Anolis sagrei: one gene and its partner. The protein of the gene in region 2 interacts with the protein of the main gene of each other region in a biochemical or structural test. Links are inferred from orthologs where the notes say so. Each region holds a gene or a part of one and is shown on either strand. Other genes may lie near its edges. The genes, in order: FGFR3 and FGF9.

What was found.
Region 1: the proteins of FGF9 (region 2) and FGFR3 form a complex in vitro, tested with the Homo sapiens proteins (3 studies listed by BioGRID and IntAct, with this or other methods). The link is inferred for Anolis sagrei from reciprocal best matches to the Homo sapiens genes FGF9 and FGFR3.

The regions. Positions count from the first base shown.
Region 1 is NC_090023.1:142,748,673-142,763,919, forward strand, and holds the start of FGFR3 (fibroblast growth factor receptor 3), read right to left. Parts: upstream 6,056-15,247; 5' UTR 5,984-6,055; intron 3,551-5,983; 5' UTR 3,478-3,550; coding exon 3,294-3,477; intron 1-3,293.
Region 2 is NC_090023.1:28,762,867-28,777,942, reverse strand, and holds the start of FGF9 (fibroblast growth factor 9), read right to left. Parts: upstream 6,950-15,076; 5' UTR 5,705-6,949; coding exon 5,413-5,704; intron 1-5,412.

The DNA of each region.
Region 1 (15,247 bases), about 110 Mb from region 2:
GCTGTTAGCCCCAGCTCCTGCCAACCTAGTAGTCTGAAAACATGCAAATGTGAGTACTGCTCCAGCAGCAAGGTAACGGTGCTCCATACAGACATGTTGGCCACATGACCTTGAAGGTTTCTACAGACAACGTCAGCTCTTTGGCTTTGAAATGGAGATGGGACCACCCCCCAGAGTCAGACATGACTAGACTTAATGTCAGGGAAAACCTTTACCTTTACCTAAATCTAAGTAATTCCAATCAAAATTAATTCACTAGGACTAAGAAAGAAAATTCTTTAAAATCTGCTGGCACATCATCATAATGCTTCAAGCATGGCTAAGAAAATATACCAAAAGGAACCTAGCATTTTACCAAAACCTCCAGAAAGCAAAATTAGGGCTCTAACCAGATATGATGTAGAAACACTGCCCCTATTCTGAGTTGCTACGGAATATATTTACCCTAGCTGTTTTATTTTTATAACAAAAAATATGTCAGCTTTCCCCCCAGATATGCTAATTTGAGGATGAAAGAAAGGGGTGGGGGAGAAACTGGATTCTACTTTCTACACTTTTTATTGTTTTCCCAATAAAAGGGCATCACTGTCCTGTGAAGCTCCATTTACCAAACAGTAACGCCTCACTATGTCAAACTGGGTTTTTCCCTAGTGAGATATGCTTACAGTGCTTGTCGAAATACACTAAATTTTGTCGACTGATATTTTTTCCCCAAATAGCCTTTGTGTTAAAGATTGTTGCTTCTAACTGTTATTGTGCACTGAAAGGAAACTTTTGGAGATTGTAATAAACACTTTCCTAGTTTAAGCAGCTTGCTACAATAGTTGGCAATACAGTGCACAAAGACAGTTGCGCATGTAAAACATTAAGCACAAATATCTACAATCTGGCTTATTTCAATGTTCAGTTTTTCCAAGCACAACAGCACAATTTTGCCTCTCCATTGCTTCCTTTATAAGCTTCAATATAATACTGAAAGGTATCACACTACAAAATCCAAATGCGTCACACATGATATCAGAAAATGGTCTCACATTAAGGAAGTGCTTCTCAGGGTATTAAAGAGTGGAGTCAGAATCTGGTAGTACACCTGGTAGTACATTTGTGTCCATTGGCTGCACCTGTTTCTTTCTTTCCTGAAAGATTTCTGAGGACCAGCAGCCTATAGTTTGCGTGCTAGCAAGGGCCGTGATAAGTTGCGTTGCATTTATGGTAGGTGTTGTTTAATGAAGAATTTAACAATTTAAAAGAAGAAAACGCTTATTTTTGCATGGTTTGAACATTCACTGTTTCAAAAACAGAAATCACTTAAAGTTTGCTAGGGTAGATCCTCCCTCACTCAGACTCAGCCCCCCCCCCCCCCCCGAATCAAAATCCTGGCTACGGGCCTGAGCTACTTAGATGTTTAAAAGTAACTGTTATAGGGGGTGGGGCTGAGGGCCCTTCCAGGCAGGCCCTATTTTCCAGGATTGGATCCCAGGTTTTCTGTTTATCCCAGATTATCTGGCAGTGCGGACTCATATAACCCAGTTTAAAGCAGAAAACCTGGTATCATATCCTGGGATATAAGGCTTGCCTGGAAGAGCCTTGAGTTTGACCAATGGCCAGCCTGGTACTGAAATATTTCTGCTGGATTAATTCGTTTGCAAACTGACAAGAGGCTACTTTTCAGACCACTGTGAAGGGCAGAGGAATTTACCCGAACCTTAGAAAAGGACAAGTGATGAGTGTGTGCACATACAGTGAATACCAGAAAAATAGTTCATTATTCTTTTACAACAACAATTACTTCAAAACACAAAGCACCAACAGAATAAGGACTACCTTTTCTCAGAGAAGCTACAAACTTCAGCTACTTCATACAAGAAGAGGTGTACAGCTAGAGCCACCACATCTCCCCAACTCCCACCCCTACAGCAAGGCAGAAGGGGACACTAGCATTTTATTTCCACAGAAGCAAAAGAGAAAGTGTGCACAGTAATATTGGTGAAATTGTTCAAAATGTGTATGTGTGCATGCATGGGGATGACTGCTGCCATTTGAAAGTGAATTGCAAAGGCTTTAAAGCGCATGTGTCAAACTCAAGGCCCATGAGCCAAAATATCTTGTCATGTCATTTTATATGGCAATTCAGATGCTGGACTATAACTTCTGTATTCCTCAGCATTAGACATCATGACTAAAGCTGAGGATAATTGTGATATAGCAGCATTAGAAGACTCCAGTTTGGTCTATTTAGTCAGGAGAGTGGGGTTTGAATTTAGTTACAAGGCTTTTGTATATGATGCCTGACTTTAAAATGTCCTTTGACTTTTCCCCAACCTCAGAGCCACAAGTGCTGTTGGGCTGCAATCCCTATTATTCCCAGTCCGCATGGCAGATAATCCAAAATGCATTGTCATTCAATAATATCTGGGGACCCAAATGGCATAAAAACTAAAGAGCACCAACCAGAAAGTAAAACATATATTTAGTTGGCCTTCTATGTTCACAGATTCTCTGTCATGGATTCAACGGCCTTAGGTACCGCTACACTGGGAAGGTAAGGGCACTCCATGCATTCATGCTGGCCACATGACCTAGGAGGCATCTGTGGATAACCCCAGCTCTTCAGCTTAGAAATGGAGATGAGCACACCTCCTGCCCCGACTCGGACTTGACTAGACTTAATGTCGAGGGGAACCTTTACTGTACAAAAGACTGACCTTCTATCACTAAACTGTTACATTGATATTATGTAACACAATTTTTCTTCTTGGGTAATAAATGCCATGTCCAAATTGATTCTATCATAAAAACATGGGAAAAGTTTATTCAACTGCAAAAGCTTTGTTTTGTGGAACATCCTGCAGTACACTCTGCATTTTCACAGTCTCAACCAATTCAACACAGTTTCTGGCAGACACAAAAACAAAGTTTCTGAACTATAACAATGACTTTCAAAGTAAGTATTGTACAATTAAATAGGAAAAAACACTTTCAAATCAGGAACAGGAAATGTTTCCAAACTCCAGCATGATTCCATCAGTTGCAAAAGTAATCTATGTTTCTCCCAACTTGAAACTGGGGCATGCTCAGGAGGAGCAGATAACTACTAGACTAGCCAGCCAAACAGGAGCAGTTCCTTCGTGCTACCTTGTCTGTAACACAGTACATTTGACAGACTGAATGCAAGGGCTGTTGATGGCAAAGGGACAGGAAGGTAAAAGGATAGCTAGAGATCCCAGCAAGAAACAGCACATGGCTCATAGCGGAGGGTGGAAATAGCTCTTCTGTTCCACAAACTTTCTTACCTGATGGCTCTCTGGTAAACCTGTTTTCAGGGTCCGAAGCGGATGGTCGGGCTGAGGGGAGGCTGCTGACGGTTGCCACCAGGAAAAAGCAAAGCAGTGCTCCCCACACTGCAGGCATTCCTTGCCCAGAGGAGCCACCCTGGGCAGTGATTGTGGTGCTGCTGTGGTGGCCAGCCTCAGCCATCCTCCAGATGCATGCTGCCCCTTCGGCTGGATTGGAGGGCCTCCTTTTGGGCCCCACAAGGTCTGGCTACACCCTGCAAGAAGACACAACAGGCAGACATCTGAGTGCTTCCAGTCGGTTGCAAATCAAGCTTGCTAACTGCACCCTTGACATTGGTTAACAGAGAATGGTTTTCTTCTCCTGCGCTGGACATTCCACAGGTATATATACTCCACTTCAGACCCGCTGAAGATGCCAGCCACAGATGCAGGCGAAACACCAGGAGAAAATGCTGTTAGAATACGGCCGGACAGCCCGGAAACCACACAACACCCCAGTGATTCCAGCTGTGAAAGTTTCGACAACACATTAACTGGGTTGCTGTGAGTTTTCCAGGCTATATGGCCATGTTCCAGAAGCGGTCTGAAACACGGCTACACAGCCTGAAAAACTCACAGCAACCCAGTGATTCCTGCCATGAAAGCCTTCGACAACGCAATACACTAAGTAGTTTTGGTTTTTAACCTAAGGTCTGGAAGCTTCCACGTGCCACAGGTCTCCCCTTGATAAGGTTTAAGATGAGGGATGTTTGAAGGGGACATTCTCCGCTCTCATTGCCACATGTGAAAACTATGCAGTTTCTGACATTTCTTCTATGGGATTGACTCTTACTTTGACCTCCAGCGATGGGCCAGGTATCCCTATACTGCCTTATGAAATCCAGATTATCTGTTCTGAACTGGATTACTTATTTTATTTTATTAATAAACTTTTATTTGAGAAAAAAATACAGTTATATAGACATGTACTATACATTCCCTCTCTTTTATTTACATTCACCCCCGGGTTGACACCGCCATACAATCCAGTTCAAATCAGATAATCTGGATTGTATACATTTTTATGCCAATGCTTTTCATGTCAAGCCGCTTTGAATCCCCTTTGGGGAGATAAAGCAGGGTATAAATAAATAAATATAATAATATATTTCAAAGGCTTTCATGGTCAGAATCACTGGGTTGTTGTGAGTTTTCCAGGCTGTATGGCCATGTTCCAGAAGCATTCTCTCCTGATGTTTTGCCTGCATCTAGGGCAAACATTCTCAGAGGTTGTGAGATCTCACAACTTCTAGGGATGCCTTGCCTTAGATGCAGGCTAAATGTCAGGGGAGAATGCTTCCAGACCATAGCCATATAATCTGGAAAACTCACAACTCACAATTATTATTATTATTATTAACTTTATTTATACCCTGCAAAATCTCCAGAAGGACTCGATGCGGCTTACAATGGCCAAGGCCTGTGGGGATGCCTGCCAACCTCTGGGGATGCCTGCCATAGTTGCAGGCAAAATGTCAGGGAGAATGCTTCTGGAACATAGCCATAGAGTCTGGAAAACTCACAACTCACAACCTCTGGGGATGCCTGCCATAGATGTAGGCGAAACATCAGGAGAGAATGCTTCTGGAACATGGCCAGACAATCTGGAAAACTCACAACAACTTACAACCTCTGAAGATGCCTGCCATAGATGCAGGCGAAATGTCAGGAGAGAATGCTTCCGGAACATAGCCATACAGTCTGGAAAACTCACAACAACTCACAACCTCTGAGGATGCCTGCCATAGATGCAGGCGAAATGTCAGGAGAGAATGCTTCCAGAACATAGCCACACAGTCTGGAAAACTCACAACAACTCACAACCGCTGGGGTTGCCTGCCATAGATGCAGGAGAAATGTCAGGAGAGAATGCTTCTGGAACATAGCCATACAGTCTGGAAAACTCACAACCTCTGAAGATGCCTGCCATAGATGCAGGCGAATTGTCAGGAGAGAATGCTTCTGGAACATGGCCAGACAGTCTGGAAGATTCACAACAACTTACAACCTCTGAAGATGCCTGCCATAGATGCAGGAGAAATGTCAGGAGAGAATGCTTCTGGAACATAGCCATACAGTCTGGAAAACTCACAACTCACAACCTCTAGGGATGCCTGCCATAGATGTAGGCGAAACATCAGGAGAGAATGCTTCTGGGACATGGCCAGACAGCCTGGTAAACTCACAACAACTCAAATATAATAATAATAATAATAATAATAATAATCAGATGGCAGTGTAGAGGGGGCCTCAGGTTGGATCCGCATAGCTCTATAACGCTGTTTCAGAATGCAGACTGAACTGGATCCACACGGCCCTGGAATCTGCAAGCCGTGTGGATTCAGCCCCAGCGAAGCCGCAAAGAGCGGAGGCGCTGAGTCAGAAAAAGCGGTCGAGAGGGACGCCAAGCTGTCCGCCTGCAAAACGAACGAGTGTCAATTGAAACCCACGCCTACCCAGCCTTAAGGCACCAGGTCCCCCCTCAACACGGGTGGGACACCGTCCGCGAGCGCCAGGAGGTTGAGGAGACTTGTCAGAGGAAGGACTCTGAGGGCTCCTCGTCAGAGAACATTCAGGTGAGTTGTTTCCCCCGCCTTTTTACCCCTCCCAGTCTGCCTGAATTCCCCCGTCCATCCCGCGGTGCCTACCTGGGGAGAGGGAGAGAGCGGGCGCGAGAGCGAGGCTGCTGCCTTCTGCCACCGCAGCTGGAGCCCTTCTGCGCCCAGCCCTGCGCGGACCGCCTCGCGCGGAGGAAAGGGGCGGAGCCGAGGACTCCCCGCAGCCAATGGGGAGTCGCCTTTCCCTCCTTCCCTCCCGCGCGCGAGGCAGGGGCACAGCGCGCGCTCACCCCTCTCCCTTCCCCGGGGAGACTACCTGGGAATGCGCACCAGGAGCCGGTGCAGGGAATGTCGATATGTTCTCCAGGTAAGAGCAATGACTCTGTTCCAGGTAAGCATTCCTCTTCATAGCCCCACAGCTGCAGGACGGACTGGACTCTGCTGTGTCCCAGGAAGAGCAGTCACTTGAGACTTCCATTGACTGAAATGTATGTATATATTTATTTATTTACTTAGTTCAAGGTTCCTCAAACTAAGGCCCGGGGGCCAGATACAGCCCTCCAAGGTCATTTACCAGGCCCACACTCGGGGGCAACGTAAGTCCGAAACGACTTGAAAGCACACAACAACAACAACAATCCTATCTCATCAGGCAAAAGCAGGCCCACACTTCCCATTGAAATACTAATAAGTTTATGTTTGTTAAAATTGTTCTTCATTTTAATTATTGTATTGTTTTTAAGTGTTTTTGCACTACAAATAATATGTGCAGTGTGCATAGGAATTCATTCATGTTTTTTAAAAAATTATAATCCTGCCCTCCAACCGTTTGAGGCACTGTGACCTGGCCCTCTGTTTAAAAAGTTTGAGGACCCCTGACTTAGTTAAAGGTAGTAAAGGTTTTCCCTTGACATAAAGTCCAGTGGTGCCCAACTCTGAGGGTTGCTGCTCATCTCCATTTCTAAGCCGAAGAGCTGGCATTGTCCGTAGACTCCTCTAAGGTCATGTGGTCAGCATGACTGAATGGAGTGCCCATACCTTCCCACCGGAGCGGTACCTATTGATCTATTCACATTTGCATGTTTTCAAACTTCTAGGTTGGCAGAAGCTGGGCCTAACAGCAGGAGCTCACTCCCCAGATTCGAACCTGCAACATTAAGGCTAGTAAGTTCAGCAGCTCAGCGGTTTAACCCACTGTGCCACCAGGAACTCCTTTTTTATTTACCTTATTTATATCTCACCTTTCTACCTTGAGGGGGACTTAAGGTGGCTCACAACATACAATCTATATAAATAAAAATGTAATGTTTTTTGCGGGATTAACAGTTTTTTGTGGGATTAACAGTGGTTCAAAAACCACTGGATGAATTGAAACCAAATTTGGACACAATATACCTATTAGGCCAATGAGTGACCATCACTCATAAAAACACTGAAAAACACAGCGAAAGAGACTTAAAAAGCCCCAAAACAAAACAAAAAACATTAAAACGCATGCTCAAAACCACATATATACACAAACACACATACACACACACATATATATACACGCACATATATATACACAGACTGGGCCACAGCAACGTGTGGCAGGGGATGGCTAGTATCCAACTACAAACATGGTTTAAAATAAAAAATAAAATAAAATCCATTTCAATGAATCACGTCATCTAGAGTCAGAGTCCAAGGCCATTCCGTAGTCACACTGCACATATTGAAAGGGGATGTTGATACCATACCAAGTTTTATATGAACTACTAACATATGTCATCATCATAGGCAATAACTTGAGGCCAAGTATGGGCCCTTCCACACAGCCATATAACCCTGAATATCAAGGCAGATAATAATAGTAATAATACTAATAATATTTTATTATAGCCTACCACCATCTCCCATACAACATATAAAATGCAATATATCAACATTAAAACCAAAACACATTTAAAAGCAGACATATAAAATTAACAAGAGCAATAGAATCGATAAAATATGGCAATAGTTGTTAATTAAAAATCCATACAGTCAATCTAGCCTTCCCTGGCTAAAGATAGTTGTCTGGCTGCTATCTTAAAGATTTCTTTATTATTTATTTACGACATTTATAGCCCACGTTTCTCAAGCATATGGCGACTCAAGGCAGGTTACAGATTGGCACGATTCAATGGCATGCATTCATAAAAGTGCGATTAAAAACAATCAACATAACAATATAAAACATATATAAAAACCATATCATCTTGTTGAAAACATTATCAAAGGCCTACAGAAAGGACCAAGTTTTTAGCTCTTTCTAAAATCCACAATATCTGCTTTGAACTGGATTGTCTGAGTCCACGCTGCCATATAATCTAGTTCAATGTGGATTTTATACAGCTGTGTGGAAGGGGCCTGTGATTGTCTTGGCCCTGGGTCCATATGTGACTGTAGAGATCTATTGTGGATCCATATAGTCTTTCGCAATGAGGACATAGATTTCCAGATGGAAGGCGGTCCTGACAAGGGTTAGCTTGAGGCGCTTTCCTCTTGACACTTTCTCCCTTTCACCCTCCATTCATACCTCAAAATCCACAGCATTGTTGGTAGCAGCTGACCTCCAGTTACAATATTTATTCCACATTTTTAAAGGTTTGATTTAAATCTCTTGCTGTCCACTACATATAAATATGTGAAATGGTGTCATAAGGAAGAGGGAGCAGACTTGTCTTCTGCTGCCCTTGAAACTAGGACTCGGAGCAATGGGTTCAAATACAGGAGAGGAGATTCCACCTGAACATTAGGAAGAACTTTCTGACTGTACAGGCTGTTCAGCAGTGGAATTCTCTGACTCAAAGTGCAGTGGAAGCTTTTAAACAGAAGCTGAATGGTCATCTGTCAGGGATACTTTGATTATGCTTTTCCTGCATAGCAGGGGGTTGGACTAGGTGACCCATGTGGTCTCTTCCAACTCTATGATTCTATGACATTCCATTTTCCATTCTTTAGCTGAGTATACTTGTCTGCCCACTGACTTTCCCCCTTCTCCAGCTCTGAGAAGGCTTACCAACACTCTAGCAAGGGTGGGCAGGCTCTCTTTGTGGCTTTTTTCTTTCCTTCCTCCCTCCCATCCCCTTGTCACCCCGTGACATCACAGAGGGCCACTTCACCTAGCAATCACCTTTTCTGGTTCAAAGAGTCATGCGAACATGCTTTAACTTTTATATATAGAGAGTTGTGAATTGAAACAATGGTGATTAACTTGTTGCGAGTTGAACTGATCAATTACATATTTTCCCAGCATAGTCTTCTCATTCCATGTTTTTGCAGTAATCAGAAGTGCAGATAAGAAGCATGTCTCGTTTCTTCTTTTCTCAAATGACTATACTCGTAACTTTAGTCAGAAAGACTGATTACTGCTTCCTAATCACCAAATGAGGTTCCTGTTACTAATGGTTCAAAAAAGGGTGTGAAACGTGTAGTTTCCCCGTCATTCCTCATCCTGCTGCCTCTGCTGATAAAAGACTTCTGGAATTCCCAATTCAGCACCATCTGGAGGGCTGCATAATTCTCCCCTCTGGGTTAAACAAGATATTACATCAAGTTGGTTGTTCATTATTGAATAAATTAAGTTTGGTGGATACTGACATGCAGGTATTACGAGCTACTTGTTGACATGCCTGGTTAAGCATGAATAGTAGCTCAGCTGTCATCTGAACGGATGGAAGCTCATTTAGAAAATAACAAATTACTTTGCTATGCTACTTAAGAAGGCTATCAAGGCAGAAAAATCACTTATGGAGGAGAACAAGAAGGCAGAATGACTGAATGATGCTCCTGAAAGTGGTGGATTCTCCATCTTTGGAAGTCTTTAAATGGAGATTGACAGGTCATTTTTCAGGATTGCTTTGTGGTCTCTTTTAACTCTGAAGATTCCATGTTTCTGGCTGCATAGGACCTTCTGGGGTTCACACCTGGAGACTTCTTGTGTTCTGGGCCTAACCTGGAGGAGGACCCTGTCCCTGAGCTGAGGTGTGCAATCTTAGCTCTGCTTTCAAGAAGGCTGGCTCCCATCCTTTGCATCCAAGTTTAAGTCGTTGCATTGCTGAAGTTCCAAATCTATACCTAGCTGTCTACATGTGGCATTTCAAAGATGGCTAGGCTTTGATTATTTACATTAACCGAGGCCCCAACTGCATTGCCATATACTGCAATTTGAAATTGCATTACATGGTCAGTGTAGACTCATTGTAGCTGCATTGAACTGCAATATATGAATCTCCTTCGACCAGTTTGAAACTGCAGTATATGGCAGTGTAGATGGGGTGTGAAAGTGCTTTCCTTCAGCCCTGGTGAGCATAGCAATTGCTGCAGAATGCTGAGCGTTACAGCCCAAGAGCAGGAATTCCCAATCCCAATGTAATGGCACCAGCCATTGTGACACATTTGCCTCCCTGCCTACTGCTCTATTGACATCTTTTATATACATATATTCTATATACACATAATAGAACACTATACTGCCCATCACCCAAATGAAGGCTTTCATATGGGGACAATTTCATCCTAGAGTTGATGTGTTTCTGACTCCCTCAATTGGTGTGTTATTTACATGACCCTGCCCACTGCCTTAACTCTATCCTACCTTTTCCTATGGCACACAGCAAACAGAGAGGAATCAATTAGCAACTGAACATACTGTGGAGGGGGTTGGGGGACTAACTCAACATGGTGGGTTTTGTAGTTCACCCTGCATCAAGACAGAGCACTGTGACCCCCACTGACAATGGACCTGGACCACATTTGGCACACAGAACCCCCATGACCAACAAAAAATACTGGAGAGCTTTGGGAAGAATTCACCTTGATTTATAGGAGTTGTAGGTACTGGGATTTATAGTTCACCTGCAATCAAAGAGCACTCTGAACCCCACCAGTGATGGTCATGAGGGTTCTTGGCACACAGAACCCTCATGACCAATGAAACATACTGGAGGTCTTTGGAAGGATTTATAGACGTTGTAGTTCACCTACATCCAGAGCGTACTATGAACCCCAACAATGATGAATCTGGACCAAACTTAGCACATATACCTGATATGCCCAAATTGGAATATTGATGATTTTGGGGGAGAGTTGTAGGTACTGGGATTTATAGTTCACCTGCAATCAAAGAGCACTCTTAACCCCACCAAAATGGGAATTAGACCAAACTTAGCAGACAGAACCCTCATTGCCATAAAAAAATACTGGAGGTCTTTGTGGAAAATTCACCTTTATTTGGGAGAGTTGTAGTTCACCTACATCCAAAGAGCATTGTGAACCCAAAAGCCGATGGATCTGTAACAAACTTGGCATGCATACCTGATACACCCAAATTTGATTACTGCAGGGGTTTGGTAGGGATTGACCTTGAGTTTTGAGAGTTGTAGTTCTCCTACAACCAGAGAAACGATGACCCTTACCGATGGACCTGAATCAAACTTGGAACACAAAATCCCCATGGCATGCTGAATATACTGGAGGGGTTTGAGGGGAACTGATCTTCATTTCTGGGAGTTGTAGTTCACCTACATCCAGACACACTGACCACCACCGACAATAGACTGGAACCAAACTTAGCACACAGAATCCCTAAGACCAACTGAATCTACTGGAAGAGTTTGAGGGGACTGACCATGATGCGAGTTGTACTTTACCCTGGAACCAGAGAGCACACTGGACTCCACCAATGATTCATCTATAGCAGTGGTTCTCAACCTGTGGGTCCCCAGATGTTTTGGCCTTCAACTCCCAGAAATCCTAACAGCTGGTAAACTGGCTGGGATTTCTGGGAGTTGCAGGCCAAAACACCTGGGACCCATAGGTTGAGAACCACTGATCTAGAGCAAACTTTAATCACTGATTGAGCATCAGGGGGTTAACCTGGCATGATGTGAGTTGTAGTTCACCCACAACAGTATGCATTTTGTAAAATAAAAAAATGACTTTCTCAAATAACCTGGGCAACGCCAAGTACTCAAACTAGTAGTCTATAAGGCAGGGCTGAGGACTGATGATCCTCCAGATGTTCTTGGACTTCAACTACCAGATTTCTTACTGTGGGCTGTGCTAGGAGCACTAGTCAACACTTGGAGGGCCATACAAGCACCTCACATGATTTAAAGCTAGGAGAAAAATTAATAATTTCACCATTAAAGCAGAACAGTAAGCTTGCTATGCTTGTCTGATACAGTTCCACTATGAATTAACTTACAAGTTCCATTGAGCTTTGTAAGTTCAGCCTAAATAAATGGAGGAGGAGGAAGAAGAGGAGGATCCAGTCTGAACAGGACTGGGAAAATGATCTAAATTCCTCAAAGAATGTGTGAACACTTTGTGGGCAATGTGTATTATTTGGCACTTGACCATGGTTGCTGCCTCACACCTCTCCTGTGCCAGCCCTGTTGCCTATGCTCCGTTCTTTTCTTGGTTCATCACAGTTATCTTCCCTGTAATGAGGACTTTTTTCTATTTTCCCCAGATCTCAAAGCAGCAGAGGGAAACATCAGTGGACTACTAGCTAGGCACGCTACTTCAAGCTACACTGTGTGTTTACATCTGCCTTATTTCTACTATACTTCTAAATCAGCAAGAAGCATAGCTACCAATGGCTACTCTTTGAACACATTTTCCAACCATTATGCCTCTATCTGAGAGCATTTCCATCTGTTCCCTATTTAGTCAGTTTGCCATTCAGAATATCATGAGGTATCTTATCAAACACTTCGCTGAAATCCAGACAAAGGATTTCCCAGTGTTTCCACACCTAATAAATTAGTGTTTTGATTTTTAAAAGAAAGATAGAAGGCAAATATACCAACTAATCTCCTCACTATCACTAAGATGTTTAAAATGAGACTCCTGCAAAACCTAATATTTTTCCTAGTATTGAGATCAGGCAACTGGCTTCAAGACTGCTGGGTCATCTTTTCTGCCTTTTTTTTTTTGAAGACAGGGACAATATTTGCTCATCTCCTATCCTCTGGCACTTCATTCATTGTGCAGTGTTTCTCAGGAACGATTCTTGTGGTTGTGTATCTATGTCGACAGTTCCTTCAGGACTCTGGGATATAGTTCATCTGACCCTGCAGATTTGAATTCATTAAATAGGTAATTCCTAAGTCCTTTTCAATCTTGATTTGCAGTCTGGATTCCTTGCCAAGTCTCTGGTGGTGCATGGAAGGACACAGTCCTCTTGGCAGAAAAATAATTAAAGCAAAATAAGTATTGAGCAGTTCTGCCTTTTCATTCATTCTTATCTGTTACCATTTTATCATCCTTGTTGGGAAGTGGCCTCACTATTTCTTGCTTTGAACATACTAGAAAAAACAACAACATTTTTATTGCTGTTTGCCTAGCCAGTCCCAGCTCTTTTTTAGTTTTAGCTTTCCTCCCACTATTCCTGCAAGCTTGGGCATGCATCTGTTTTCCTCCTTGGTGATTTGACCTTCCTTTCATTCTTTGGTTTTTCCTTCTTGCTTAAGTTTAGTGTGCAGCCACATGGACTTTTTCAGATGCTTCCCATTTTCTTCCATGGAATTGTTTCTGACTGTACTTTTAGCAGTTCCTTCATAAAATCCCACCCATGCTGGGTTTTCCTTTGGCACCTTTGGCCATGGGATTCTTCCCAGTATTCCCCTGAGCTTGTTTAAATCAGCTTTCCTGAAAGCCAAGGTTCATGTTTGACTACTCCAGAGGTTCCCAAACTTTTTTTGACCAGGTACCACTTGAACAGGGACCAGTTTGACCAGGGACCACTCTCCAACTTTAATACCAAAAGAGCTATGAATCAGTTTCTGGTCAACTTTGTATTTGGTTATTTGGGGTGCTAATTCAGAATATTACATTGGATGAACCACATCAGCTCTAGTTTCTGATACAGAACATATGCAATCCAGTAGTCGCCATCTGCTCGTTCACAGAAACCCATGTTTAATAATCTACAGCTGATGTGGTCTATCCAATGCAATTTTCGGAATCAGCACCCCAAATAACCCCAGGAACAGACCTAAAAATGAAGATACCAAGGTGCCTCCGCTTCCCGGTGCCACATGGAATGGCTCCTCTCAGGAGGAGGAGAAGCAGCAGTCAGGAGCCTTGTTGTTGCACCTTTCGTGGGTAGTCAGCCTCTCCTCTTCCGACATTCCCGTTGCCTTGGCACTATAAGAGGGTTTTGCAAGACCAGTCACTCTCATTGCACCAGTGTAATAACAGTGAGGCTACAGACCATATTTTAGTTCTTGCGGACCACTGGTGGTCCACGGACCACAAGTTGGGAACTACAGAATTATACTTTTATTTTCCAGGTCCTACAATCATGAATTCTAGCATCACATGGTCACTCCTTCCTAAAGTACGAGCTTTTGATTCCAGTGACCAATACCTCCCTAGTGGTTAGGAGCAAGTCAATGCTGCTGATCTCATTGAAAGATTATCTGCAAGATATATCTGTAATTCCAGAGAGATCGCAAAGTTACTCCCCCAGCAGATATCAGGATCATTTACCTCTTTCATAATTACTTTTTCTTGTTTCTTGGAGATTTTTGAGATTTGTTTCTGAAAAGCAACATCCAGCACTTCATCTTATCTTCGTGATCCATTGCAAACTCCTACCACATTTTCATTTTCACTTATTATTGTATTTATTTCACCCAAATGCTTTCCACTGATAACTTGCTCCTGACATAGAATGCACCGCCTCCTTTATTTGTTCCCCATCTATACTTATATTCAAATAATGGAAGTCATCTCACCAAGTCTCTGTTATGCCTATAAAGACATATTTATATTTCTGCACATCATGTTTGTTTCCCAAACTCTGTGTATCGGTGTATAGACATCTAAAGTGTGGCTTGTTCTTATTTTTTATGCTACTGCAAATTTTGTTTTGGCTGCCATTCTTTCCCATTCACTCCCGCAGACTCTTCTCTAAATTTAAAATCTTTGTTTTTAGAGCATTCTTTTGGACATATATTTAAGATACCTTCTCTTATAATATTTAAGCTTTAATTTTAGAGCCTTCTTGATCAGATTCACTGTGATTTTGCCAAAAGCCATTCTTCTTGGACTCAACTCTTCACTTTCCTGTCCAGTGCGTCATACTCTAAGATAAACTGTTAAATGGTGTGCTTTCACTGAATGAGATCAAATGTGCTTTCCTTACCATGTGACTTCACATGAAAGTCTCCAATTACACATTTTCCTTGTTAATTAATCAGGTCACAGCCAGGTTTACCAACGAATTTCAGGGAAAAAACAACTTGTACTTTATAAGTTATAGCAAAGCCTTTGGTTGTTTGGGCAGTGCAAAACTATGGATCACTCTTAAGGAAATCG
Region 2 (15,076 bases):
CAACTCCTAGCATTCCTGACAGCTGGTAGTTTTGGACTCCAGGTGTTTTGGACTTCACTTCCCACAATCCCTAACAGCCCCAGGCCCTTTTCTTAAGCAGCTGAGGGGGAAAGGAAGAGGCTTGAGGCTGTTAGGGATTGTGGGAGTTGAAGTCCAAAATACCTGAAGGGAGGGCCCAAGTTTGCCCATGCCTGCTCTAGTCTCACAAGGAGTAAAGGATGCATTCATAACATCACAGCATGTACATGGAGAAGTTGTGGTTGTTGTTAGACTCCAACTCCTATCAGCTCCTCCCAAACCTCCCCTTACTAGGCTTCACAAGGAAAGATGAATAGCAGGGAGAGGCAATGCATCAAGTCACATCATGTCCTCTCATGTCCTCTCTTTCTGTCACCTATTAACTAGAAATGGGTGAACAGACCCCCATTTCACAGAGGGTGCAGCAGCAGGCATAATTTTTACCATCTGCTGGATAAGCTACACCTTACTCAAACTCTATCCTTTGCTCTGTCTGCTTACCTGTACATTTGGTCTCTTACAATAACTATTACTTGCCCACCCTGGTGAAGTAGTAGATGTGTTTTCCGTTAAAGAACTTTCTAAAAATCCAAGAACTATTTTAGGACAATATCCCAATTGTGTTCCAAACATAATAATAATAACCTGCCCTTGATCCAATATGGAGTCCAATATGGAGTTTAATATCTTTCTTAAGGCTACTTTTTCTTTCATAAATAAAGAAATATTCCTAGGATGGGTGACACCTGCGTGAAAAGAGTACCTCTGAAAAGGATTTGGAGGTTTTAGTAGATGACAAACATCAACAGTTTGATGTGGCAGCTTAAAAAGCCAATGTGATTCTAGCCTGCACCAACAGAGGTGGGGGGAAGTCCTGGCACCACTCTAGTCCACTTTTATCAGGCCTCACCTGGGATACTATGTCTAGTGAGAGCAACATTTTAATATCGGGGTGAGAAGGGCGGCATATAAATGTCGTAAATAAATAAACAGTGCTGGGCACAACTGATGGAGGACATTGACAAGCTGGAACATGATCAAAATGATCAAGGATCTGGAAGCCAAGTTCTATGAGGAGCGACTCAGGGAGCTGGATATCTTTCGATGCCTTCCCTCTGCATCAGATCTGTGAGGAGCGTCTTCCTCCCCTGGAAGGGCGGCGGGAAGCGGCAGCTGTCGAAGAGCAGGGCGGGGCCTAGGACCCGGCGGCGGCCTCCTGCCGGTGCCGCTGCCAAGGCCACTGTGCGAGGGAGCGGGGAGCACCAGCTCGGCCGCCGTACACCTGCTAGCGGCGTGAGCCCGCCGGCTGCCGCGGGGCTGAACCGCAGCGTGTGCAAATCTCGCCTCTTCACGCACCAGAAGCTCCCCGGCTTTGGATCTCGGCCCAGCCAATCGGCCGCCAAGACCGCAGCCGCGTCCTCCTGCCTCCACGCCGCAAAACCCAGCCCAGCGCAAGGTCTCTTCCTTCTCCCGCTTCCCTGGACTCTGTTTGGGGTCTATCTATCTCCCTCCCTGGGCAGGTCTTTCCCACCCACCTCAAGCTTCCATCTCTCAGGGGAGGTCCCATTTGGCCCACTCTTGGATCAGGCATGGGCCAACTTGTATCTCCCCACAGCCACCCGCTTTAGGGCGCATCTCTTCTTTCCAGGCAGCGGTATGATCGTAAAAGCTCTAATAAAACCATAAAAGAAAGGGTTGTGGATCTCACAACCTCTGAGGATGCCTGCCATAGATGGAGGAGAAACGTCAGAAGAGAATGCTTCTGGAACATGGCCATACAGCCCGGAAAACACACCACAACCCAGTTGTAGATCTCATTCATAGAATCATGGAGTTGAAAGAGACCTCATGGGCCATCCAGCCCAACCCCCTGCCAAGAAGCAGGAAAATTGCATTCAAAGCACCCCCGACAGATGGCCATCCAGCCTCTGTTTAAAAGCTTCCAAAGAAGGAGCCTCCACCACACCCCGGGGCAGAAAGTTCCACTGCTGTTAGGAATGGTAGGAGTTGACGTCCAAACCATTTGGAGGGCCCAAGTTTACCCAGGCCTGGGTTAAAGAATGGAGACTCCTGTTCCCCGCCAGATAATAACTCTCCAGCGGCTGAGGGGGCGGGGGGAGGAAGGGGTCTGAGGTTGTTAGGAATGGTGGGAGTTGAAGTCCAAAAGACCTGGAGGGAGGGCCTAAGTCAGCCCATGCCTGGTCTAATTGGATAGAGCTCCAAGTGACTCCACGCCTGGTCTTCTGCTGTGTTCTTGCGTGCCTTCAAGTCGTTTGAAGGCACACAGGAGGTTCTCTTGACAAGATTGGTTCAGAGCCTCAGAGCCTCCTCAATCACTTAAGTGGAAAAGGAAAGAGCCTGAAGTTGTTAGGAATGGTGGGAGTCCAAAACCCCTAGAGGGAGGGCCTAAGTTGGCCCATTACTAGTCTAACTGCACTAACATGACTAGTCTAACTGCCTCACTGTGCCTTCCTCTTAGGTTGACCAAGCCTGGCCTGTTAAGGTCACTCAAGGAAAGGAAATCTCCACGGCCAGCAGGAATAGGAATGGTGGGAGTCCAAGTCCAAAACCCCTGGAGGGAGGGCCCAAGTTGGCCCATGACTAGTCTAACTGCATAGAGCCCCAAGTGACTCCACTCCTGGCCTTCTACTGTGTTCTTGTGTGCCTTCAAGTCATTTGAAGGCACACAAGAGGTTCTCTTGAGAAGATTGGTTCAGAGCCTCAGAGCCCTTCCTTTCCATTCTCAACCACTTAAGCAGAAAAGGAAAGAGCCTGAAGCTGTTAGGAGTGGAAGTCCAAAACCCCTGGAGGGAAGGCCCAAGTTGGCCCATGCCTACCTGGCCTGGCCTGTTAAGGTCACTCAAGGAAAGGAAATCTCCACGGCCAGCAGGAATAGGAATGGTGGGAGTCCAAGTCCAAAACCCCTGGAGGGAGGGCCCAAGTTGGCCCATGCCTAGTCTAACTGCATAGAGCCCCAAGTGACTCCACTCCTGGCTTTCTGCTGTGTCCTTGCATGCTTTCAAGTCGTTTGAAGGCACACATGGGGTTCTCTCGACAAGGGATTCAGAGGAGGGGTGCCTCACTGTGCCTTCCTCTTAGGTTGACCAAACCTGGCCCTGTTAAGGTCACTCAAGGGAGGGAGGTCTCCACGGCCGAGCGGGAATAGGAATGGTGGGAGTCCAAGTCCAAAACCCCTGGAGGGAGGGCCCAAATTGGCCCATACCTAGTCTAACTGCATAGAGCCCCAAGTGACTCCACACTCCTAGCCTTCTGCTGCATTCTTCAAGTCGTTTGAAGGCACACAAGGGGTTCTCTTGACAAGGGGTTGAGAGGAGGGTTGCTTCACTGTGCCTTCCTCTGAGGCTGACCAAGTGTGACCTGTTAAGGTCACTCAAGGGAGGGAGGTCTCCACGGCCGAGCGTCTCTCCAGAGTAGGACGCTCAAGCCACCGTCTCAGGCGAACTCTTCAGTGCTGAGTCACAGAAAGGATTCTTCGGAGCTTCGGGGAAAGGGGCGGGGAGGGGGCGGCCACCTGCGCGGCTCTTGCCCGGGCTGCCCGCGTATTCAGGCCAGCGACCACCAAGCGACGGCGTGGCTTAGGAGTCCGCAGAGCGCGTGGGGGGGGGGGGAGATCTCGGCCGGATCTCAGGCAGGCAGGCGCATATCGGCGCGCTCTTGGCAAGTGGCGGGGGTGCAGGGGATCCCCCTCGGTGGGGGCGGGGTCTTTCCTCGCGCCGCTTTGCCTTTCGGGCAGGTGGAGGGGAGCGGGGAGGAGGGGAGGAGGGGCATCTCTCTGTCTCGGCCTTCTTCACAGCCCGCCCCACCCTCCAAGGAAAAGCAGAGGGACGTCCCCCGTCCCGACCCCCCCCCGTCCCCCCGTCCCGTCCCCCACGCAACCCGTCGGCTGAGGAGGAAGTTTCACCGAGTTGGGTCCAGCCTGACTCTTCTCTGCAGCAGACCCACTGGAATCAAATGGGAACTGGAGGTGACCAGTATCATCGCCCTCTGCAGATTCAACCCATCGCCAAGAAGGAAGTCAACACCTAACAGTGGGTCTGCCCTAGATGAGACCAGCATATTAGGCCAAGAGATCTATCTATGCCTGACTAACAGGGCATCCACACCGTAGAACAGGCATGGGCAGATTTGGGCCTTCCGGGTGTTTTGGATTCCAACTCCCAGCATTCCTAACAGCCTCAGGCCCTTTCCTTTTCCCCCTCAGCCGTTTAAGTCTGCCAAGGGGTGCCTCACCAAACTACAACTCACATGATTCCACAGCACTGAGCCCTGCCAGTTTGAGGCGGTGTCAATCTGCACTCACTCTACAGTGGAGATGCATCCAACCCCAGGGAGGTCAAGAGCATTTCTTTAGGAGTCTAAAGGTGCTCATAAAACTGCAGCTTCAAAATGGAAATATATAATAAGAGCGGAGGGTTCCATCCTAAAATTATTATTATTATTATTATTATTGCAATAGCATTATTATTGTTATAGTTTACTACTGATTGTGCATAACAAGCATGGGCAATCTTCGGCCCTCCAGATGTTTTGGACTTCAACCGGCTGTTAGGAATGGTGGGAGTTGAAGTAAGTTGAAATAAGACCAAAGCACCTGGAAGGGACTAAGTTTGCCCATGCCTGGTCCCTACACCCAAGCCTGGCCGCCTGCTGTGCATTTATTTATTATCAGAATTAGTATAAAACCGATAAAAATAGAAGGAGTGCAGGTGGCTAAATATCTTTGACCAAAAACGGGCAACAGCAACGGCATTGTCTGCAGCCTCCAACAATTCTGCCTCTGTACATGAGGCAGGGCATAGTGGACCAGTACACAGATGCGGAGTTGTCTGTTCTGCTCCACAGTGACACAAGGTGGGGGATTCTTTTGGGTTTTGCCAGGTTGTCCTTTGATCTGCCTACTCCACTTGTTCAGGGACTTCCAAGTTGCCCATTCGGGGGGGGAGGGGGGGCATCCAGTTGGGATTTCCTGGTTGAGCTGCCCAGAAGGATACCCTTGCTGTCGCTGGGGGGACGCCAAGAGGAGTGGTCGTTCTCATAAAGCCTTTCCTTGATTAGGGTCTACTGGGAGGAGACTGGTAGCCATGTAGTGGGTGGTTTTCACAGTGTTCAACCTTTTTTTTCATGTGCACTTACAGCTATGGATTTTTCCCCTTTGCTTCAAAAAAATGATGTCCCTGGCGCATCCCATCTGCAACTCCTGGAGGCTCCCTTCCCTCCCTTTCAAAGCTCTTCCACAACTATAACCGTGGACATGGACTCCCCCCCCCTCCTCCTCCTCCTCCTCCATGCCCTTGCCTCCCTACCAGAAGAGCCACCAACTTCTCTCCTGGCCCCCCTTTTCCCCCCGCCCTCCCCCTCCTGGCCCATACCTACCAAATCGGCTGTGGTCTTGCCTGGTGCCTTGGATGGTCCCATTGGGGAAAATCTCTAAATGGAAGCCAGTCCTGCAGTAGAGCTGCCTGCGCCTCAGGATGCCCTTTAAGTGGTCCAGGTCCGTCACGGCCGGCCCACGAGGCAGCCCCTCGGCCTGGCCCAAGTGGTCGCTCAGCAGGACCGGGCTGTCCGCCGGCAGGACCGGCATGTTCCCGAAGGGCGCCCCCGCCGCCGCTGCCGCTGCCGCATCCGGGACCCCGAAATAGTTGCCAACTTCTCCTAAGGGAGCCATGAGGAGGGGGAGGAGGAAGGAGGGAGGAAGGAAGGAAGAGGGAAGGAAGGAAGGAGGGAGGGAGGGGGGAGGTCCCTCGCTTGCAGCAAAACCGTCACGTCTGTGCCCAAGAGCCAGGACTCGCGGTTCTCTCCCGTTTCCCTTTCACGCGAGGAAAGGAGGCAAAGCAGGTTGCTGCGCCGCCACTCTCCCCTCCCACTTCCACGCCGAAAGGTGACTTCTTCCTTTAATCCATCAATGAGGATCAAGGCGGGGTCCTCCGAGGCCTCCTGCTCTCCTTTCCTGGCTGGGTCTGGGGTTCAAGGTCAACCCCTTAGGAAGCGCCCTCCGCCGCGGGGGACGCGCGTGGGCTCATCCTCCTCGCGCCCAGAGCCAGCGGAGAGAGATCCGGCTCGTGTGTTCCCCTGGCAGGGCTCCCTTCTAGCAAGCGGTCAGCTCTTCCGCCCATCCGGCCGTCATGAGGAGGAGCAGGGGGGTCCCGAGTTTCTCCGTGGGGCTCCGCATCGCAACTTCGGGGCCCTGAGGCCGAGGAGGAGGTGGAGAAGAAGGGGGGCGCATGGATCAGGGGCCGGGAGGAGGTGCAAGGGAGGGAAAGAAGCCTGGGAAGAGGCGCAGAGGCCAACCGGCCGCCCTCGGGGCTTCACGGGTCCGAGCCCCAGCCAAGCATGCGCTGTTTGGACTCTCTGCCCAGAAGGAGAGGAGGAAGAGGAGGAGGAGGAGGAGGCGAGGGGGGGGGGTCTCTCCCTCTCCCAAAGGACCCAAAAATCCAGAAAAGGGGCCGTTTGGTTGCTTCACTGCTTATTTATCAAGAAAGAACTTTTGACGTCCGGCTCTATGATCCAGGATCCTGAGGAGGCGGCTCGGCGCTTCAGCCTGGCGTGGATCCTCCTCCTCCTCCTCCTCCTCCTCCTCCTGTTCCACGCGAAGCAAGGCAGCCCTCCTCCTCCTCCTCCTTCCTCCTCCAGAGAGCTGCCGGTCTTCCCCGCTGGGCGCCCGTGCGGCGGAACAGGTGTAGGCAAGCTCTCCGCAAGGCTGCCTCTGCTGGGGCCGCGGCTGGTGCGGCGCCTTCTCGCTCTCTCGCCCGCTCTCCCTCGCTCTCTTTCTTCTCCCCCTCGGCTGTGTCTTTTCCATCCAAGCTCGCAGGGGAAAGTGGCGCAGGAAGAGGCATTGGGTTGGGTTTAAGGTAGTCCAGCTTGCGGGCGGGAGAAGGAGAGGGGGGGGGAGAGAAAAAAGGAGGGAGGGGAGGCCCAGAGGCTTCCCCCAGGTCCTAGCGCGCAACCTTCACCTGCGCAGCACCAGAGAGCCGCCGCCGCTCCCTCCCTCCCTCCCTGCTTCTCTCCTTCCCTCCGCCTCCTCCGTGACATCGAGTGGCCCGCTCGCTCTTTTTACTGCTCTGCGGCACTCCCGGCTCAGGCTCAGCCGCGGCTTGGGGAAAGAGGAAGAAAGGAAGGGGGGAAGCGCCAGGAACTTGGAAACGGAGCGACTTGTGGAACTGCAAAGATGCAGAATGGGGGGCAATGCCTGGCTCGAGAGCAGGCATTGGGGTCCTCGTGGACAACAAGTGAAACAGGAGCCAACAGTGTGATGCGGTGGCAAAAAAAAGCCAACGGGATTTTGGCCTGCATCAGTGTCTAGATCCAGGGAAGTCATGCTACCCCCCGATTCTGCCCTGGTTAGACCACAACTGGAATCACACAGTGTCCAATTCTGGGCACCACAATTGAAGAGAGATATTGATAAGCTGGAATGTGTCCAGAAGAGAGCAACTAAAATGATCAAGGGTCTGGAGAACAAGCCCCATGAGGAGCGGCTTAAAGAGCTGGGCATGTTTAGCCTGAAGAAGAGAAGACCGAGAAGAGACTTGTATAAATATGTGAGGGGAAGTCATTGGAAGGAGGGAGCAAGCTTATTTTCTGCTGCCCTGGAGACTAGGACGCAGAGCAATGGCTTCAAACTACAAGAAAGGATATTCCACCTGAACATTAGAAAGAACTTCCTGACTGTGAGAGCCGTTCAGCAGTGGAACTCTCTGCCCCGGAGTGTGGTGGAGGCTCCTTCTTTGGAGGTTGGATGGCCATCTGTCCGGGGTGCTTTGAATGCAATTTTCCTGCTTCTTGGCGGGGGGTTGGACTGGGTGGCCCATGAGGTCTCTTCCAATTCTATGACTCTGGTGCGAGAGAATTGGCTGTCTGCAAGGATGTTGCCCAGGGACTTCGGGATGTTTGATGTTTTACCATCCTTGTGGGAGGCTTCTCTCATTTCCCTTCATAGGAAGCTGGAGCTGACAGAGGGAGCTCTCACAAAGGGACCCGGTGCAAGGCAGGGTTAAACCAAGGGGCGATTTAGACCTACTGCTCCCCTGGACCTGAGAGTTGGGGCGGAGGGCCCGATCTGAGGCGGGCTTCCTCGGAGATCAAGCCCTCCCCACTTCCGAGTCCCTGCCCTGCCGCCCCAGACCCTGAACAGCGCCCACATACACTCCCAGGCGGGTTCATGGGGAGGAAAGCGCAGGTGGGCAGGATTCACGCCCCGAGAAAGGTCCGGCGCACGTGTTCCACAGGGAGGCGCGCCCAACGCGATCGACCCACGCGTCAAACCGGGATGAGAGGGGGACCTTCTCCGACACAATGCTCCCGGGATTTAGCGAAATGGAGAAAGAAGAGGCAAGAAGGGAAGGCGCAAGATGTCAACCCCGACAGGCTTAGTGGAAAGGGTTTTTTGTTTGTTTGTCTCTGACTCTGAAGAGCGGGGTTCGGATCCCCGCCAAGCCACAGAAACCCACACCGGGTGACCCTGGGCATGTCAAACATTTCTGCCCCAGGGCACACCAAAGCAAACGAGATCCAAATAAACCATGTCAAGAAAGCCCCGTGACAGATTCGCTTTTGGATCGCCATGAGTTGGAAATGACTCCAAGGCACATCACAAGGCTAGAAAACTACTTGAAAACATACAACCAACAACATTGTTCTGACCCACCAAGTGACATGTCCAGATGTGAAACCAGTGAGCCATTTTCTCTCCTGCATATCATCAGAAATTAATGGTAATCTTCCCCATTCGGCCATCCCTAAATTTGGGAAAGGAAGAGATTGGCAAAGAAAGGAAAAAATGAACTTTGCCTAACTCAGTGTTCCCAAGACCCACTGGTGGGCCACAAGACCTAAAATAAGGTCTACTGCGCCAGATTATTCAATATGGTCTTCTGTAGACAAGTAGATGGCAACTACTGGATGGTATATGTTCTGTAGAGCTGATGTTGTCTATCCAATGCAATTTTCTGAATCAGCACCCCAAATAACCACACCGAATCTAAAGTTTACCAAAAACTGATTCGTAACCCTTTTGGTACGAATGTTGGAGAGTGATCACTGGTCAAAGTGGTCCTGAGTCAAAGTGGTCCCTGGCCAAAGTGGTCCCTGGTCAGACTGGTCTCTGGCCAAAGTGGTCCCTGGTCAGACTGGTCCCTGGTCAAAGTGGTCCCTGGTCAGAGTGGTCCCTGGTCAGAGTGGTCCCGAGTCAAAGTGGTCCCTGGTCAAAGTGGTACCTGGTCAAAAAAAGGTACCAAGGGAACCACTGGCCTAATTGGATATGTGCATTATGTGCATTATTATCTCTGGCCCAACCCCTGTTCGAGTATCAGCCAGCACACCAGCGCCCTAAATCAAGAAATAGTTTTCTAAGTTCTGCAGAGATACTCTCTGGAACACCTCAGCAAGCGAGAGTCCAAAGTGACAGGCCTAAACCTAGAACCTCAATCAATGGCTGATACCAAATGAAAGACTCCCTCCTGGGCACATAAAAGACTGGGCGACTTGGAAGCCGCTGAACAGACTGTGCTCTGGCACCATGAGATGCAGAGCCAACCTTAAGAAATGGGGCCACAAAGTGGAGTCCACAACATGCGAGTGTGGAGAAGAGCAAACCACTGACCACCTACTACAATGCAACCTGAGCCCTGCCACATGCACAATGGAGGACCTCTTATAGCAACATCAGAGGCACTCCGTGGCCAGCTACTAGTCAAAGGACATTTAATAGAATGCCAAGTTTGCAAACTTTGTGTGTGTGGTTTTTTTAAAAATGCAATACAATTGTTTGGTTCACTCCTGACATGATAAATAAATAAATAAATGGTCAAGCAAGATCTGAAAAGCATACCTGGTACAGGTCAACTGCCAGAGTGAATGAATATGGACAGAGCCTGAGAACTTTACCTTTCTCCATGAGAACCTATCTACCACCAGAATCCTCTACTCTTCCTCCATGATTGGGAACCTTTAGATCAGGCCTGGACAAACATGGGCCCTCCATCCAAATGTTTTGGAGTTTAACTTCCATCATTCCTAACAGCCTCTTCCTTTTCCCTCTCAGCCACTTAAGTTGAAGAAAGGGCCTGTTAGGAATGGTGGAAGTCCAAAACACCTGGAGGTTCCAAGGTTGTCCATGCCTGCTCTTGAGATTGCAGTCCAATAAATACATATTTCCAAGTTCTGGGCTCTCAGGCCAATGGCACTAGATCTCTAAACTATAACCTCCATGAGAAGCTTTTTGACTATCCTCTGGTTAAGCCAGTGTTCTCAACCTTCCTAATGCCGCAACCCCTTAATACAGTTCCTCATGTTGTGGTGACCCTCAACCAGAAAATTATTTTTGTTGCTACTTCATAACTGTAATTTTGCTATTGTTATGAATTCTAATGTAAATATCTAATATGTAGGATGTATTTTCATTCACTAAACCAAACTTGGCACAAATACCTGATACGCCCAGATTTGAATACTGGTGGTGTTGGGGGTTAATTTTTGTCATTTGGGAATTGTAGTTGCTAGGATTTACAGTTCACCTACTATCAAAGAGCATTTTGAAATCCACCAATGATGGAATTGAACCAAACTTGGCACACAGAACTCCCATGAGCAACAGAAAATACTGAAAGGGTTTGGTGGGCATTGACCTTGAGTTTTGGAGTTGTAGTTCACCTACATCCAGAGAGCACTATGGACTCAAACAATGATGGATCTGGACCAAACTTGGCACAAATACTCAATATGCCCAAATGTGAACACTGGTGGAGTTTGAGGGAAATAGACCTTGAAATTTGGGATTTGTAGTTGTTGGGATTTATAGTTCACTTACAATCAGAGTATTCTGAACCCTGCCAACTACAGAATTGGGCCAAACTTCCCACACAGAACCCCCATGACCAACAGAAAATGCTGTGTTTTCTGACACTCTTTCACGAACCCCCCAGGTGTCCCACCCCGAGGTTGAGAAACACTGGGTTAAGCCTTGCATTTGGAAATGATTGCAGAAATTCCAGTGGTTCTTCTTGTTCACATTTGGGGGCCAGAGTTTGTTGTTGATGTGAACTGCCTCTTATTCTTGGTGACCCTATGAATGATAGACTTCCAAGTCATGAAGAGCCCTTCTACCATACCAAGCATTATTACCCTTTCTAGTGAGTCATCTCTTCTCAGTCTGAAGGCCTCTGACATTTCCAGATCTGAAGGCATGTGGATTCCAGAGGATCTGAGACTAAACACTGTTTCAAATTCACCCTTTTGAGACCATATCCTTGTGACCTCGTTGTATAATTGAGGGATTTAGTTCAATACTCTTGGGGATCCTGCATGATTTAAAAGGATGGTCTTGGTTCAGCTAAAAGTAGTCCATGGCAACTGCATTTTGAATCAGACATCCATGGGTGACCCTATCATTAGGCAGAGTGAGACACTTGTCTCAGGCAGCAGATGGTAGGAAGAGGCAGCAAGCTGTTGGGTGAGATCTAGGTGCCAACCAGCTTCCACCGAAATAAATCCAATCAGACATTATACCTGAAGTGGTGAGGACACCATTTTTTTCCTTTGCCTCAGATAGTAAGTGTCTTGGGCCAGTCCTGTGGATTACTATGTAGCTGTCAAGGAGAAACACAAAAATAATAGACCTATCGATTTCATTTCTCCCACAGCATGCAAATCAAATTGAAAGGCTACACAGACCAGAGAAGGCAAATTTGATGGCTTGGGTCTTTTTTCATTTGCTTTTGAATTTGCATTTAACAATGTTCACAGGTATTATATTAGGATGCTTGCACAAGTGACAGGCACAATATTATGTACCAGCTTATATAAAACATATGACAGCATGTTTACTTGGAAGAAAGCCCACTGAACATTTTAATAAATATGCAAATGACCAGGACACAAAAATTGGGGTTTTTTTCTTCTGAATTGTACCTCCTATGATTGTCATTCTGAAATTAATTTTATTGGATCTAAACAGAGACACTCTTTGGGGAAACCCACTGGCATTTATAGGACTCAAATTAGTCATTGTGAAATTCAGTCTTATTGTGTTTCTATTGGAAATACAAATAAGGATTCAGTCCACCAATTTATATACAGTTGTGGAAACCTGTGAATTCTGCATCCATGGATTAAGCCATCCATGGCTATAAAATATCATCCTTCACCTGCAAAAACATTCCAAAAAGCTAACCTCGATTTTGCCATTTCATTTAAGGGCAACTATTTTATTAAGCTACTAGCCATACCCTGCCACGTGTTGCTGTGGCCCAGTCTGTGTATATGTGTTTTGTGTGTGTATATGTGCATGTATATATTTGTGTATATGTGTATATGTGTGTTTGCATATATAAATATGTGGTTTTGTGCATGCGTTGTAATGTAATTTTGGGATTTTTTTTTTGCTTTTTAAGTCTCTTCCACTGTGTTTTTCAGTGTTTTATGAGTGATGATCACTCATTGGTCTGATAGGTGTCTTGTGTCCAAATCTGGTGTCAATTCGTCCAGTGGTTTTTTGAGTTATGTTAATCCCACAAACTAACATTACATTTTTATTTATATAGATTGAAAAGAATGCAATTTTGGCATCTAGGGGTCTTGAAACCAAACCCCAGCAAATACCAAGAACCCACAGTACAATTTTTGGATCAATGGATTAGGAAAAAAAGTGTAATATAAAATGAGAAAGAGGATAATATTAATAGGGAGATAGGGAGATAGAAAATTGGGGATATCTACAGAATTTATACTTGCTATTCAAGTATTCAGCTATTGAAGCTGTGGTGGTGCAGTTGGTTAAACCACTAAGTGCAGAACCTGCTGACCAGAAGTGGCTAGAAAGCCATCTGTCAAGATGCTTAGCTCAACTTTCCTGCCTTAAGGCAATAGTGAGCTGGACTAATACCCTCTGTGTTATTTCCTATGGTTGCATTTACCTAAACAAAAAGCAAGACGTATTAGGTAATTCTTACCAGTTTCTCAAGGAAACTTGTATCTTGTCTGCACTGCTCCCACCCCCTATGTACAGAAATTTCATTCCCCAATTTTTATTTGCTGTGAGGATCATTTTCAGCAAAGCTTTGAATCAATTTATTCACCTTTAGTCAAACATGCAACCTGCTTTTCAATCATTCAAAAGGTTGTAGTCATAAGAACACAAAAGAATACCTTATCCTGAATCAGGCCATTTGTCTGTTTATTCCAGTATTGTTAACTTTGACTAGCAGCACTACCTTCTTCCTAGCCCTCCTTGAATACCCTTGCTATATGCTCCCTGGTTAGCCTCCTGTGGCCCTCAAGATGTCATTGACTTCAGTTCCTATTGAAGTAATTGACTTGGTAACACCAATATAAATTATATAATGGTGTAAATTGGATTTTCACCTTTATAACTAATTTTTATAGAGGTTGTATAGGTTGGAGTGTTGGTCTGACATCCCATGACACTATCCCTTCCCAAAACATTTTGTAAGCAGAACATCTCCTACAATGTAGCAATGTCAAGGATGGGGGAGGAGGGACACATTCAGCTATAATTTTTTGAACATGCTGCAGGGACCTCTGGAGGTCTGTGCCAATGCATATCAAGGCACATTCGGCTATAGGAAAATAGCTGGAAATGTCACCACTCATTCCCTACTCTGCAACAACACAGAGGGCACTGCTTACAGGATGGGGGAGGGAGGTGTAACTATGTGATTCACATACACCTTTCAATGAGAATTTAGCCTTAGCATCTGCAAAGACTGAAGGGTGATTGAATAAATAAATTTAATTACAACATTTATAGACATCTTGTAGTGTGTGAATCCCTCACTGTCAATGAGAATTGTATTGAAAGTATTTATGGTTTTCCAACAGATGTTGTCTCAGGTAGGTTGTGTGGTGACAGAGCTACCAATGGAAGTGTGTGCTCCACAGCTCTACTGATTTATCATCCCAAATTACTAAAGGGGTCAGAAGACAGTTCCACTTTGTCTCCTGTGCTATGTTAATAATGTAACGTAATGTAATGTAATATTTTTTAAAATCATTACATGTAGCCTGCCCATTGTCATTGTGTTTGTGCTTACTGTAATTTTATATTGTTATGTATTCACATGTTTTATGTAATTATGATGTTGTTATTGTTCGCGTTTTCGGTTTGCGTCTTCGGTTTTTCTTTATTGTAATTGTTGTTCAGGCTTGGCCTCATGTAAGCCACTCCGAGTCTCCATTGGGGAGATGGTGGCGGGGTATAAATAAAGATTATTATTATTATTATATATTGTATATACATATATTTATAATATTATAATGTAATGCAATATAATACTAATAATAAAATGATATTATAATATATATTTATATTACATGTAATATTACTAATAATATTACAATATAATGGTATAATACAATATAGTAATATTTAATACTGATATTGTACTATGCTAATAATATAATATATTGTGTGTGTATGTGTGTGCGTGTGTGTATGTACGTGTGTGTGTGTGTGTGTGTATAGTAAGCTGCTCTGAGTCCCCTTTGGGGTGAGAAGGGTGGCATATAAATGTCATAAATAAATAAAGCAGAAAAGAAAGGCCCACCATAGAATCAGAACATTTGGGTGATATTATTCCTGAAAGGACCAGCACTCCATTAGGCAGAAAAAAGTGACAGATGCTGGGGCAGGTGTAACACTGGAGTACAAGAGGTCTTTTGCTCACAAATACATAAGGGAACAAAGTGCATGTCTGAGCAAGAAGCTGTCCAACAGGGCACCTACTTTGCCGCATAAGAATGTTTCATTTGCCTGCTTGCAAGCTGCAGACATTATGATTATGATGTTGTCTGATAGGTCTGATGCAAGTGAACTTTCCACATGGTTACTCTAAGGGTATCCATGCCGTAAGGGGAGGAAATCTAATTGCTCCGGAAATTGCCATCAAACTGTCTGAGGAGTATGGAGAACCATGGTCGGTGGGGCCAACACAGGGTAATGAAAAAAAATTCTGTTGTCATCCCTTGCAAGCAGCAGAAATGTAGGAAAGGCATACAGTAGGGGACTATCCCACGAAAAATTAGG